3 linked regions of the Drosophila melanogaster genome follow. The protein of the gene in region 3 interacts with the protein of the main gene of each other region in a pairwise test. Each region holds a gene or a part of one and is shown on either strand. Other genes may lie near its edges.

Region 1 (3,567 bases), on a different chromosome or scaffold from region 3:
ATGCAGTATTTAACTTATATTTTAATAATATAAGTTTGTAACTTAAAATAGAACAGACTGAGATATTTTTTCTTTAAATGAATACAAGGAATCCCATATTATTTCCTCCGTGTAATCACTCAATGAGATTTTTCGGATTCTTTGCGGCGCCAAGGATTCCTTTCTCCCGCTCAGCTGTTGTTCATTACTAATTCCTGGCATTTTGAGATATGTGTGTCGCATATATTACTTGCTAATAAATTAATAAGAGCATAAACAAATGGTCAATATGTCAGAGTGACGTCAACTTTTTGGCGGCTGCTTTGGCTGGCGCTGTCATAATTGGAAAGCAAGATTTGGCTTCCTCGATTTTCCCAATATTCCATAGCCACATAAACAAATACGTTGGCTGGTTTCGAAAATGTGTGCCACACAAACTGCTATTTTATTAAAATTTATAAATCAATTTGCATATCATGGCTGGCATTAAACAAAACGAATAATTAATATTATGGCTGATTTAAATGTGAATATATATGCGCGCGTATGGGAATAGGAAGCTGAATCGCAAAAGACAATATTCGAATCGTTTATAAAAATGTATTAACACATTGCTCGTTTGATATTTCCATGTGCGAGTTGTCGGTGTCTGTGTGTGGAATGATTCCATCCTCTTAATTAATGTCGATTTTTTAATTGCTCGTTAATTTGGCTGAGTTATAAAATGATTTTATGGGCACGTCGTGATTGATTCATAAAGCGTGTCAGCTGGAAAATGTGATCAGATTTGATCTAATTATGAGGGAATATCTGATACTTATTTAAATGAGCACCAATTAAGCGTACACTGGGCGAAATTCAACTGCTGAACTGATACTATAACATCTTTGTCTGGAATTTTGCTGACTCATTTCGTATGGTAATTTGTTAATAAAAGCGAAACCGAAATTCAAAAGCCGTAGAACAGGGTAGGTTTTTAAGTTTCAGCCTGAGTTTGTAGTTATTTAAGTGGCTAAAATCAAAGACCAGTATTACGTCCCAAAAGTATAAAAAGAGATGTTTATTTAAATAAGGTTATTTAAGACTATTTTTTATCGTCATTAAGCGTGTTTAATTTTAACAGATGTTGATAGCGCATTTGGAACTGGTTTATCAACAGCATGATTTACAATAATTCCAGCTGCCATCGAATCTGATAATGATTTTCCCGCAGTGTCGGCTAAAAATAGTCATTGTTAAGCTTAGCAAACCACTACAAAATCGTATTGTAGTGGGTGGATGTGGTTCGGATCGTCTGCTCTTGGTGGTGATGGTGGTGGTGGCATTGGTGGTGCTGCTGCTTTCTGGTGGCCAGGCGCAGTAAATTCGGCAATGCTCAATGGTTTTACAGTGCTTTTCGTATTTTCCTTTTTTTCACTCCACGAAAATTAGAAACACATTTTAAGATTTCCACAGGTTCGTGTGCGCGTTCACTTCTTTTGTTTATTTCGCTTGGTTTTATTTTCGAAATGCTGCTGAAAACCATAAATTAGCTTGTTACTTTTGGAATGCCTGGCGTTGTGTGTGGGTGTTTCTGGGGTTTCTGGGGATCTCAAGAGCTCAATGAAGAAGTGGGGAACTGATTCAGTCGTTAGCGGTGATCGATCTGGTGAACAACTAGCACAGGATTTAAAATGGATAACATTGTGAGTGCCACTGGATTATAGAAACCCCTAGGGGTAACACCTTGCACTTGAAAGCAGTGTTAAGGAATAGAGAAATGTCGTTTCTCATCAATTTAAAGATTTTTACCGAATTACAAACGAAGTAATGTATGGAAATTCATGGAACTTTCTTCTCAGGACGAAGACCTGACCCCCGAGCAGATTGCCGTTCTGCAGAAGGCATTCAACAGCTTCGACCACCAGAAGACCGGCAGTATCCCCACCGAAATGGTGGCCGATATCCTCCGTCTTATGGGTCAGCCCTTCGACAGGCAGATCCTTGACGAGCTGATCGACGAGGTCGATGAGGACAGTAAGTGTTCGCAGCCTATATTGCCGGGTGCCCAAACTAATCCTCGATTCTTCTGCAGAATCCGGTCGCCTGGAGTTCGAGGAGTTCGTCCAGCTGGCTGCCAAGTTCATCGTAGAGGAGGATGATGAGGCCATGCAGAAGGAGCTGCGCGAGGCTTTCCGTCTGTACGACAAGCAGGGCAATGGCTACATTCCCACCTCCTGCCTGAAGGAGATCCTCAAGGAACTGGACGACCAGCTGACCGAACAGGAGCTCGACATCATGATTGAGGAAATCGATTCCGACGGCTCTGGCACCGTTGATTTTGATGGTAAGTGCGCGGACCAATTAGCCGCCGTCAGTCGGGCTATAAAGATCTTGGATTCCTTGGCGCGCTGCCATGGTATTTTCCACACAAATTATATCAATTTGTTGCGGTGGAGAACCCCTACCCCTCCCCACTAACACCACCATCCCACCAACGAGGGGAGACGCCCTTGTGGTGCTTTATTTATAGTTCTTTAGATCTTTACACAGAAACAAGCAGATCACTTTGCCCCAGATTCTAAGGGGCATTTCACTATTCCTAAAACAAAATCCGTCCATATTTTCCGCCTTTTATAATTGTTCCGATTGGTGTACCAGTTTAAAAAGAAACAAATTTGTATTATGAGGTTTTGGTCCAATTTCCACTTGTATTAGTACACAAACCATATTTTAGTTATCAACAATAATAATAATTAATATTATTTTGTATTTAATTTCCAGAATTCATGGAGATGATGACTGGCGAGTAAGCATTGTGGACCCAACGTATCTCATAATTGTCTACCCCCCAACACCCGAGGCTTGAATAAACGTTTTGTATTTTATTTCTACGATTGAGTAATCATAATTACGCTATAAATAATCCGCTCGTTCAGGAACCGATTGAGTAGAAAAACCCAAAGCGCGGCAAACATTCTATGGCTGCAGTGCATCTGCATCCGAGTTGAGTCATCTTAATTGCCAATTGCCACCCTCTGGCGTGCGGATTATTATTAAATTTCAATGTTTGTGCAATGGGCTGGGAGTGGGCGTGGCCGCTCTGCTCATTTGTGTGTTAATTTGGCAAGGCCATTCGGCGTATGAGTGATGCATGTTGCGCATACGCAACGTGGCCAGATGCATGCGGAGTTCTTTGTTTCAATCTTTCCGCTATTACTTGCGGCAGTGCGTGCACATTCCGTTTGCCACTTGACTGGCGTTCTGGTCCGCACAGCTGTGACCATCCCAAGCAGAATAAGGCCCACTGACAACCTGCTAGATTTTTGCCTTTCCAAACAGCCAATGTAGTATATCATAGCTATGCATGCAGGCTGGCAAATGTCAATGAGCATTCTCCTTGTTGCCAAAAGATGTCAAGCATTTACGCTAAACTTGGCCGCCGCGACATGCAGTGAGTTTGTTTTCCCAAATTCAGCGAAAAGAAGCAACTGCCCTTTCTGAAAAGTTAGCGAAAAAAAAGGAGAAGGGGCTTGGGGCAGATCGATGTGGATGGGTTGGGGTTTGGATGTTGCCACCAAGTGGAGCAACTTGTTTTGCGCAATGCTT
Region 2 (5,033 bases), on a different chromosome or scaffold from region 3:
TGAGCAGCACTTCAGATCGGAGATCGATCAAATATGACGCCGTTCATTGGCTCCTTCCTGCGACGATGACGCCATTCGATCGATCGGCCCAGTCGCCCCGGATCATCCATTCAACCGCTCCTCCAACTTTCCCTCGCCTTCTTCTGCGATACTGAAGCCCCTTTTCGCGGTCCATGTTACATTATCTTCAACGCGGTTCGCATATCAATTATGGCACTCACGCCGGCAAAGAGCGTTAAAAATAGCCGCCTGCAGCGACGATGATGCCATAAATCGTGCAACTCGAAGCCAATTATCACCAGATGCTCAGCCCACAGCCAGCAGCCAAATCCAAATCCGAATCCGAATCCGAATCCATCGGGGAAATCGAGCCGAGCTGAGTCGCCGTACGCAAGCTGTTGCACTTTGCACTGAAACGTCGTCGGGATCTCTGACTAAACGAGTGCTACATGTGCATTGAGTGCAAAGGGTTCCCCACCCGACCACAACTTGCACTCTTTGTGCCCACCACTCGCAGGTAGGGATAGTAGGGTTCATTTGTCTGGAGCTTATTCTACCTTCCAGCAAGTTGAAGTCATAATGTTACAATAGTTGGCGATAGTACAGCGAGCAATTGACTATGACGACAGATGGATGTATTACTCTTGATTTATATATACTTTCGACACTAAGTACTAAACAATGACGACCGATGGCCTGGGATGAGTTATTTATATTCACTACAAAAATATGTGATTGCTTAAAAACATTTGTTTTGTCACACGAGACCGCAGTAATTAAGTATGACGACACATGAGCGAGCCCTTGATATCATCAACCAAAAATATATCAAATAAAGACCCCTTGGTGGAGCATACTTTTAAGCGAGAAGCCTCACTTATCGCGAATAGTATTCATAGTATTCATATAAATATATGAATATTTCGGCGACCGACTGATGAACTTTCTCAGAATTCCGATTCCAATTGGCAGTCCCCCCAAATGCCCCATTCCCCTTCCCATACCCATTTCCATTTCGGTGTTTTCCCATCTCGCGGCCATAAATCTGCGAAAAAATGTGCTCAACTTAATTGAAGACATCAGCACGGCAATAAAAAATCAATTTGCGCAGATCCTCAGAGTCGTTCGCTAAAACAATACGAGTATATTCGTTAGCGATTATATGTGTTTAAATCATTATCGGCACAAATTCGCTTTCATGTTGCTGATACTCTCGAAATTGCTCTCGAAATAGCCGACGTCGTCGTGTCTGCCTGGTTTTCATTCAGCATTTCAATTTTTCACCCGGGGTCGAAGGAATTTCACACATGTTCACACAAACGGCCAATTGGCACAGCGCGCAGTGGAAAAATTTGCGAAAAGCGCGCTGTTAATCAAATTATTCAATAGTTCGGAATGCCACAAATGCGAGTGCATAGATATATATATATATATATTCATATATATATCGCTGTCATCGCTGTAATTCCCGGCGGGCGCGCAAATTGATAAAATATGCAAAGTAAACAAATGCCCATGTTTTGGGGGCCCGTCCGCGTCTGCGTCCGTTCGCAAATTGGCTCTCCTTTGAGCCGCCAAAGACGAGGGCGGGGCGGGGCGGACTTACATCATAAATTAAGCCCGCCGACAGATGGCAAATAATGCAATAAACATTGAAATCGCCGGTGCTATTTATAGAGCGCTCCTGCGATAAGATCGTCTGCGGCACCGACTGCAACTGTTGCCACTATTGCAATTGCACCTTTGGGTGGAGAATGGCATGGGCATGGACATGGGGATGGGGATGGGGGCCCTATTTTTAGCCAGTCGGTAGACGGCTGTCGGACGAGGTCTATTTATAGGGTCTCCGCCGTCCTCCTGCCCATCCGCGATGCGGATCGAGCAGCAGATCGATGCCACCTGGGCGAGAGCTGCCCTTGCCCCTGTCCTTTGGCGGCGGCGTGGAGCTGGGCCGACATCGTGCTGGGTTGGCCCACATCTGCTTGGCCAGAGAGGTGGTCCGGGCAGTTAATTAATCTGATCGCACCTATAAATAGGCATCTATTCTTAACCGTGTTTCCGGTTTCCCACACTTTTGCAGATGTGTTCCCGCAACATAAAGATCTCGGTGGTGCTGTTTCTTGTCCTGATACCAATCTTCGCCGCCTTGCCACACAACCACAATCTGTCGAAGCGCAGCAACTTCTTCGACCTGGAGTGCAAGGGCATCTTCAACAAGACCATGTTCTTCCGACTGGACCGCATCTGCGAGGACTGCTACCAGTTGTTCCGCGAGACGAGTATACACCGATTATGCAAGTAAGTTTCCCTAGGGTCCCACAGCCCCAGCCATACGTACACATACATACATACAAATATCTAACAAAACCACAAAGCAGCATCAGTGTTCCTTACAGCGTTCAAGGCAAGGCCGTCCAAGAAACACTAATTATGATCTTAAGTGCTGGCAGACCCTGACACAAATACAATTGTCGGGGTATCGGAAAATGATCGCGGGACCTTCGGTTGTTTCTGAACTTTATGGGCCCGCTTTCCCCGCTACTTTCTCCTCGACTTTCTCGCACAGAGACCGCTGCCTATTTGGTTTCTTCCATTTGGTCTATATCTCTCTCTCTCTCTTTTTGTTTCACCCTATAGTCACTTAAATATTGTAGTAATAAGTTTATCACCTTTTCGTTTGACTTCCCTCTGTGCGAGTCCTACATCTGTGTTTCTTGTCTATTCGATGCAGGGCCAATTGTTTCGTCCACGAGACCTTCGGGGATTGCCTAAAGGTGCTGCTGATCGACGATGAAGAGATATCGCAGCTGCAGCACTATCTGAAAGTGATCAACGGATCACCCTATCCGTTTCACAAGCCCATCTACCACTAGACTCCTAACTTCGACCACTTTCGTTTCCACTTCCGTTTCCGCTTTCGTTTCCGCAACGACTTCATTTTCCTGATTTCTTACTGCCTTCAGTTACCTTTACCGTTGTGTTTCATTTTGATTTTCGTTTTCAATTTTAGGAAAGACTGCTTTGATTCAAAATGGTTTGGCGAATGCCTGAAAGTGCTGTTAATACCCGAAGAGGAAATATCCAACCTACAGCACTTTCTGAGAGTAGTGAACGGCTCGCCCATATCCTTCAACATGGGGCCGCAAACATAACTCTAAGTCCCCGCCCCACACACCCACAGCCCCAACACACCATACACCATACAGCACACAACAAACAACACACACCACACACAGCTGAGAATCGGTGCGAATATCGTGGGTTGGAACGAGCATCCGCATCCAGATATAGATCCAGATCCAGATCGAGAAACAGTCCCACTACGACCACACATGCAGAGCCAGAACACAGAAATCTAAAATATTAAAACGCCCAAATTTAATTCGTACTTATTTATTACTGTATGCCTTACAGTTTTTACTATATGTGTTTTTTTAAAAACGAATTATTTTTATTAATTTATTGAGAACGTTATGCGTTTGTTGTAAGTAACATAATTGGGGAGTGGGAGATGGGCGATGATGATGATCAGATGATGATGATGATGATGTGCAGGAGGAGGATCGCAGATCTCGCACTCCCCACATATACATAGAAGCCGAAGTATTTATTTTTAAGTATTCTTAGCTTGTTTTATTATTATTGCGTTATGCGGTTTGTATATAAAATAAACAAAACGAAATCCATTGTTTTTAATCTATGTAATGTAAAATGATAACTTTTATTTTTGTATCTGTATTCTACTGTAAAATCAGCATTTAGAGTTTACATTTTACACGATTTTCCGCAAGGGCAAAACTACAATGATAAAGATAAACCCATACGAACACACACATACACACATACACACATACACACACACTCACACACACACATATATACACCGCAATCGAGACCGAAAGTATTTTGCAAATGTATTACACTTACAATTTTGTGCTATTTTGTAAAGATGAAACCCTGAATTAGTGTAAATCTGTTGGCGCAAAACGGAGATATGTATTTACCTATATAGTATATAGTATATGCATACCTATCTAAAGCTAAAGCCTTACATATATCCGAATACGAGTACCCTACACACATGCTAAATATTAGAGAGAAACGCAAGATCGCAATTTGTGCAAGACACAAACAAAAACCTGGTAAAAACACGCGAAGAACGGAACGACTGCATTACAAATGTGGCAATAAATAATACATAATTAATAAAACCCTGTAAATTAATAAAGGATAATCAATCATTCGCTGGCTATTTGAGAGCATCAAAATTGTGATAAATGAGAATTAGAATGCGAATGCGCGACGCAGGACACCGCCAGAGAAAGAGACCGCCATACAGAAGGCGACAGAGACAGACAGACTGCAGCTGGCGATTTGCGCGCGTTTCTGGCGCGACTAAAAACGCCTGCTTACCGTTTTTGTTTTGGTACGTTATAATTTTCTTTTGTTTTTAATTAATTATTTGATTTTTGACCTTGTGCATTCTTGGCTTTTAACTAGCACTCAAGCTAAAAATTTGACCAACTATGCTTTACTTTTTGTTAAATTCCTCAATAATCCTCGAACTGTTGAGCTCGTATTTTTTGAGCAAACAAACAGAACAAGATTTTGAGAACAATAATTTTTGTGATATATTCAACCATACCTGAATATGGCTTTTGAACTTTGGCTCTTTTTTCTTCTGAGCAAGCTATACACCAAATTAAAAAAAATCAGGTTTCCTAATTCCTCCTCCTCCTTTTGTTTTTGAACACAGGCAAGAATGCTTCGGATCGCCCTTCTTCAACGCCTGCATAGAGGCTCTTCAGCTGCACGAGGAGATGGACAAGTATAACGAATGGCGCGATACCCTGGGTCGCAAGTAAAGTGCGATTCTCTGGGATTTTCTGGCACCGTCACTGGCACGAGCAGCTACTTAATTCTATGAACTATTAACTAAAACTATTATTATTGATAACTGTGGCAGAACACGGCACGAAACTATGGCAACCAGGAAACGATCGACCCGAGGAATGTGTACCACTTGAAGAAAC
Region 3 (4,982 bases):
ATGCAAATCATTGGCGAGACGGAGAAGACGAGCGAGGACGCAGCTGTTGGCGCACAGGCAGCATCTGGAGCGGACTCACCCGCCCAGGTAGCCCGCGATCGACAGTCTCGTTCTCGGAGTCGAACTCGCAGCGGGTCCAGTTCAGGATCTGGATCTGGCTCCGGCTCTCGGGCCAGCAGCCGCTCAAAGTCTGGTTCTCGGTCTGGTAGCGGCTCCAGATCACGCACAAATTCGCCGGCAGGATCCCAGAAATCCGGATCCAGATCGAGATCGGTATCACGTTCCCGATCCCGTTCCAAGTCCGGCTCTCGGTCGCGTTCTAGGTCGAGATCCAAGTCCGGTTCCCGATCACGTTCGGGCTCCAGATCTGGCTCTGGGTCGCGATCGCCCAGCCGGTCTCGCAGTGGCTCGCCTTCTGGTTCAGGATCCAGCTCTGGAAGCGCCTCAGATGAATGATTAATTACAAAAAACGGCGTTCATAATAAATAAGTTTATAATCAACCAAGTACATTTGAAAACTGAACTAACTCGATTTAATATCATTTTCGCCTCAACTCAGCGCTCGGGTTCGTTGCCCAGAATAGTTTTAAATAAAATCGGCAGTTTAACATAATTTATATTAGATGTTGTTGTTGTATTGCAAACAAGTCGGGTCCTAGTCGATTTACACTTGGCTGAGATAAAACAACTAAGATTCAAATAATATCCTCATAAGAAGATGTAATTAAGACGTTTTTCTTAGGGGGTGCTTAGGAATTGATTAGATCGCCTTTGGGGAAGTGCAAACAATGTAAAATGATATAAAAGGGTATAAATTAAGTGGATATATGCATCTTCGTTCCAACTACGTGGCGTCCATCAAAAAGCGCTGGAAGACTTCGCCATCGGAACTAGGTAGCTCTGTTTGTTGCGGTGAGTAGATTCTCAAGTTCTGGAGTTGCTGCAGCGGAGAGCCATTCCCGCTGAAGTGTACCACCGCAACCGGCTGTAGGGATATGAGCTGTCCCTCCTCCCGCGGCTCCACACCACAGATGCCCAGCTTTTGGCACTGCTCAACGACAATGTCGTCGATTGACTGCGAAAGCAGTGCCTCCTGCTCAGGATCCACAATGGAGCTGCTGTTGATGGCAGCTATTTCGGCGCTCGCTGGTGAAGGCTGAGTATGCGAGTCGTTGCCCTCCAGGAACGCCTTTATCAGCTGCTCCGGTGTCTGGGCCTCCTCGGTGGGACATCGATGGGTCCTTTGACTGACCTTGTACCTGAACGTCTTTTGGCAGAGCTCGCACTTGTAGGGCATCACTCCCGTGTGGATGCGCGTGTGGACAAGGAAAGAGACTCGCTGCCGGAAACACTTGCCTGTGGACGAGTCCGAAATACGAAAAGGTTAGACATGGAGTGACCCGGAAAAGAAGGTATACCTCTCCTTCATTTAAAGTAAATAGGGCAAATCGCAATGGAGTATGCTCATTTATAAGCTGGCTAACAAAATAAGGGGCGGCTAATTAAGGGGTTTGATCGATACTCACCGCAGACTTCGCACTTGAAGGGCTTTTCGCCGCTGTGAATCCTCTGGTGGTTATGCAGCGTAGACAGTTCCTTGAAGGCGCGTCCACAAACCCCGCAGACATGGGGCTTTACCTCGCTGTGGTAGAGCAAATGCTTGTGGTACGACTGCTGGAAGGTGAAGGTCCTGGCGCAGATCTCGCATGTGTACGGCATCTCGCCGGTGTGGAGCCGCTTGTGCTTCTTCAGAAAGTACTTGGTGGTGAAGGACTTGCTGCACACATCGCACTCCCACAGCTTCGGGGTGGCCGTGCCCGACTCCGGCGAACTGGGGGACTGCTGGAGCATGCTCAGCGCCCCACTCAGCGCGTATGGCTGGGATGCGGTGCACGTGGAGTTATTTCCGTTGCCAAGGGCTCCAGGCTCTGTGTGTCGAATGCGATCGCAAATGCTCAGCTTGGGCGTGGCAGTAACTGCACTGGTGGTAGAAGCGGGTGTAGGACTGGGATTAGGATTTGGATTGGGATTGGAGCAGGGCACGCCCATCATGTGCACTACTTTCAGGTGGATTCGAAGGGAGCCCTTCATTCGGAACGTCTTGGAGCAGAGATGGCACTTGTAGGGCTCCTGGTCCTGTATAAAGCAATAATCGGAATTTCACTTATATTTATCAATTCATCAATATGCCCTCATGGCCAAATATTCCATTACATTACCGTCTGTCTCTCAGTTTCAAATTTATGCACAAAAATCATTCACTTTCATTCACTATATCACAAAGTTGCCATGGTTTTAAATTGATCAAAAACAAATTAATATCTATCATATATATACATAGTCATATGAACAGTTGAAAAATTAATTGAAAATAATGGGAACGATATACGTACATACATCAGTTGTTTTTAAAATATAAGGGTATATAGATTTCTTTCTTGTTGTTGTTGATTTTAATTACGTCAAACTTTTGTTTCAGATTCAATGTAAATGGTCTAGCTTTTTAAGTATGATTTTTTTTTGCTGCCAGTGAGCATAGAAAAAAAAAATCAAAATCGATATAAGAATATGCGAAAGTGCATTACGAAACTCTTTAGATAATAGCACTTAATATATGTACATAGCCAATAGTTACCGGTTCCTTCTGTTGGGGTTCCTTTTGCTTGGGTTCTCCCTCCGCATTTTCGTGGACTAAGCGGACGTGCATGTCCCTCAGCTCGGTATTCCGGAAACTGAACTCGCAAATGTCGCAGTGGGCGGGCGGGGTGGTCCGCACAGGCGGTGGGGTTGGGACGACGGGCTTGGACCTGGTTCGCTTGGCCCTCCGTTTGGGAGGAGCTGCGGCAAGGAAGCCCCGGGACGAGGCGGGTTGGCCATTCGCTGGACTCTCGTTTCCCTCCTGAGCCATCAGACTTGTGTGCGAGAACAGGTGGATGGTGAGCTTGTCCAGCCCCAGGAAGAGCTCCTTGCAGTTGGCAAAGGGACAGGCCAGTGGGCCGTTGGCCGCCTTGATCAGCCTCTGCTGCAGTGCGTCAATACTGCCGAAACTGGGCACCGCGCAGAGCGGACACAGCACCGAGGTGGAACACATTTCGCCAGTGCACTCAATCGAATCTTATGCAAATGCTTCACCTCCTATTGGGATTATCCTCCTGTTCGGTCTGTGATCATCTATTCAGGAGTCCATTCCCAGACTGCCTAGTCTTTCTGCTTTCAAAATTTTCTAAAAATATCAGCAAGTGAAGATTTTTGAAAACTTTGGGCCCAGCAATCTGACTTCTCGGCACCGATGCCAGCTAACGAAATAATGAAAAATAATGAAATGCCCGGCGCGGATCGTCGAATCGTCAAGAAGACTTTCGGAAACACTCGCAGCACCGAAATCCCATCTCTCGAACAAGGCAGTCTCTTTTCTCCGTGTCTCTGGGTAGCTCATTTCGAAATATAGCTCTGAGCACGGCTATATACTATATGTATGTAGAATTATTTCTGGCCGATATATGTTGCACTGGCGGCCATATAGCCTTCGTTCTAGTCTTTGTAACGCACGATGCGCAGGAGCAATTCGCTGAGATGACCACATGCGATTTGCGGGACTTATCTAGAGATCTATCATTATCGCCAGATTGGTTTAATAATTGGCTTTTCCGCCAATATCCAATTGGAATATGGTTGGTTACTGCAATTGTCGCTCCATTTTTTAAGCACTCCATAAAAAGTAAACACATTAATATGTACTCTTATTGGAGATTTCTTCTTTCGATTTTAGTTTCGGACCAGTGAAAATCATTCGTTTCATTTTCGTAAATAAGAACTGAGAAAATATTATTATTATATATATTTCTTTATTAGGAAAATACGAAGATTGAGTATTTCAGATTGAATTAGCATATCCGTCTAAATCTTAATGCTGTAATGAGCTTACTTGAGATCTGATCAAAACCAATACAAAACCCACACCAAAGGTGGTAGCTAATATACATATTTTGTGTAATACTTTTGTAGAGTATTTACTATTCAGCGATTTAAACAAGCAATCGCCTAGACACACACATTTGTCCGCCTATGTGTATGTGCACCGAGCTATACCCCCACTGAATCGCTGTGTGCTATTTTTATGGCCGCGATGCTCTCTTGTTTTGACCCGCTTGGGCAACGCATTTTATTCGCTGTTTCGTTTAGATGGTCAATTTGTAAACACTGCGATGCCAACACGTGAAGATACGAGCATACGGGTTGAGATCATCGGATATCGAACGGAATAATAAATAAATATATTTTAGACTATTATTTTTTCTTCGGCAAGGGCAACTCAAGCGATATGATGCTCAGTCCGGAGTGGGAGGTTGTGGAGGATGTGTCATCCTTAAGGGAGCTCATGTCGGAGACGGAGGACCGGGCACTAGCCCCGTCGCAGGAGAACTTCTTGCCCTTAACATTGAGGTAGGAGGCGGTGTCCTGACCCTGCGAGGACTTGCCCGAGGAGCTGCTGTTCCAGGACACGCGGCTGCACGTGCGCTTCAGGTGCATCGGCAACTTGATTCCTTTTCGCAAGAGGATTCCAATTATATCCGTGCCGCTCTCGTCGCTGTTCGCCAGATCGGTGATCATGTTCAGCGCCTTGGTGTTACGCGCCTCCAGCTCCTGTAGAGACAGATCCCGCTCGAACTGCGCCAGGTACTCCTCGCTAAAGGGCCGCGCCTTGATCTCCCGCAACTGTGTCCGGATCTCTCGATTGGCCCTGTCCAGCTTCATTCGCTGGTCATCTAGTTCGCGCTCGATCTTCTCCAGAACTGCAGAGTGCTCCGCCCGACTAGCCTTCGCCTTCTCTATTTTGGAAATCAGGTCTTCCTCCTCAGCTCGCTGGGCTGCGTGCTTCTGCTGGTAGTGCTGTGCCTTGCACCTGAGAACCTTCAGTTTTTCCAGCTCGCGGCAGTAGGCCGCCTCAAGTTCCTTCAGCTCCAGTTCGGCCCGCTCGCGAT

Evidence for each region. The genes of interacting proteins can lie anywhere in the genome.
Region 1: the proteins of CG14655 (region 3) and TpnC47D interact in a two-hybrid assay, tested with the Drosophila melanogaster proteins (one large-scale study listed by BioGRID).
Region 2: the proteins of CG14655 (region 3) and CG4622 interact in a two-hybrid assay, tested with the Drosophila melanogaster proteins (one large-scale study listed by BioGRID).

The regions. Positions count from the first base shown.
Region 1 is NT_033778.4:11,273,318-11,276,884, reverse strand, and holds TpnC47D (troponin C at 47D), read left to right. Parts: upstream 1-1,598; 5' UTR 1,599-1,652; coding exon 1,653-1,664; intron 1,665-1,820; coding exon 1,821-1,995; intron 1,996-2,053; coding exon 2,054-2,305; intron 2,306-2,742; coding exon 2,743-2,771; 3' UTR 2,772-3,040; downstream 3,041-3,567.
Region 2 is NT_033778.4:24,553,274-24,558,306, forward strand, and holds the start of CG4622 (uncharacterized protein), read right to left. Parts: upstream 3,011-5,033; 5' UTR 2,874-3,010; coding exon of another isoform or gene 2,732-2,873; 5' UTR 2,670-2,731; intron 2,299-2,669; coding exon of another isoform or gene 2,081-2,298; intron 1-2,080. Other genes in the region: ITP (Ion transport peptide), read left to right, coding at 2,081-2,298, 2,732-2,873. UniProt on the Drosophila melanogaster protein: Scaffolding subunit of the trimeric nuclear exosome targeting (NEXT) complex, a complex that directs a subset of non-coding short-lived RNAs for exosomal degradation. The RNA exosome is fundamental for the degradation of RNA in eukaryotic nuclei.
Region 3 is NT_033777.3:4,776,984-4,781,965, forward strand, and holds CG14655 (uncharacterized protein), read right to left. Parts: upstream 3,320-4,982; 5' UTR 3,092-3,319; coding exon 2,636-3,091; intron 2,137-2,635; coding exon 1,527-2,136; intron 1,357-1,526; coding exon 845-1,356; 3' UTR 514-844; downstream 1-513. Other genes in the region: atms (antimeros), read left to right, coding at 1-456; Ccdc39 (Coiled-coil domain containing protein 39), read right to left, coding at 4,288-4,982.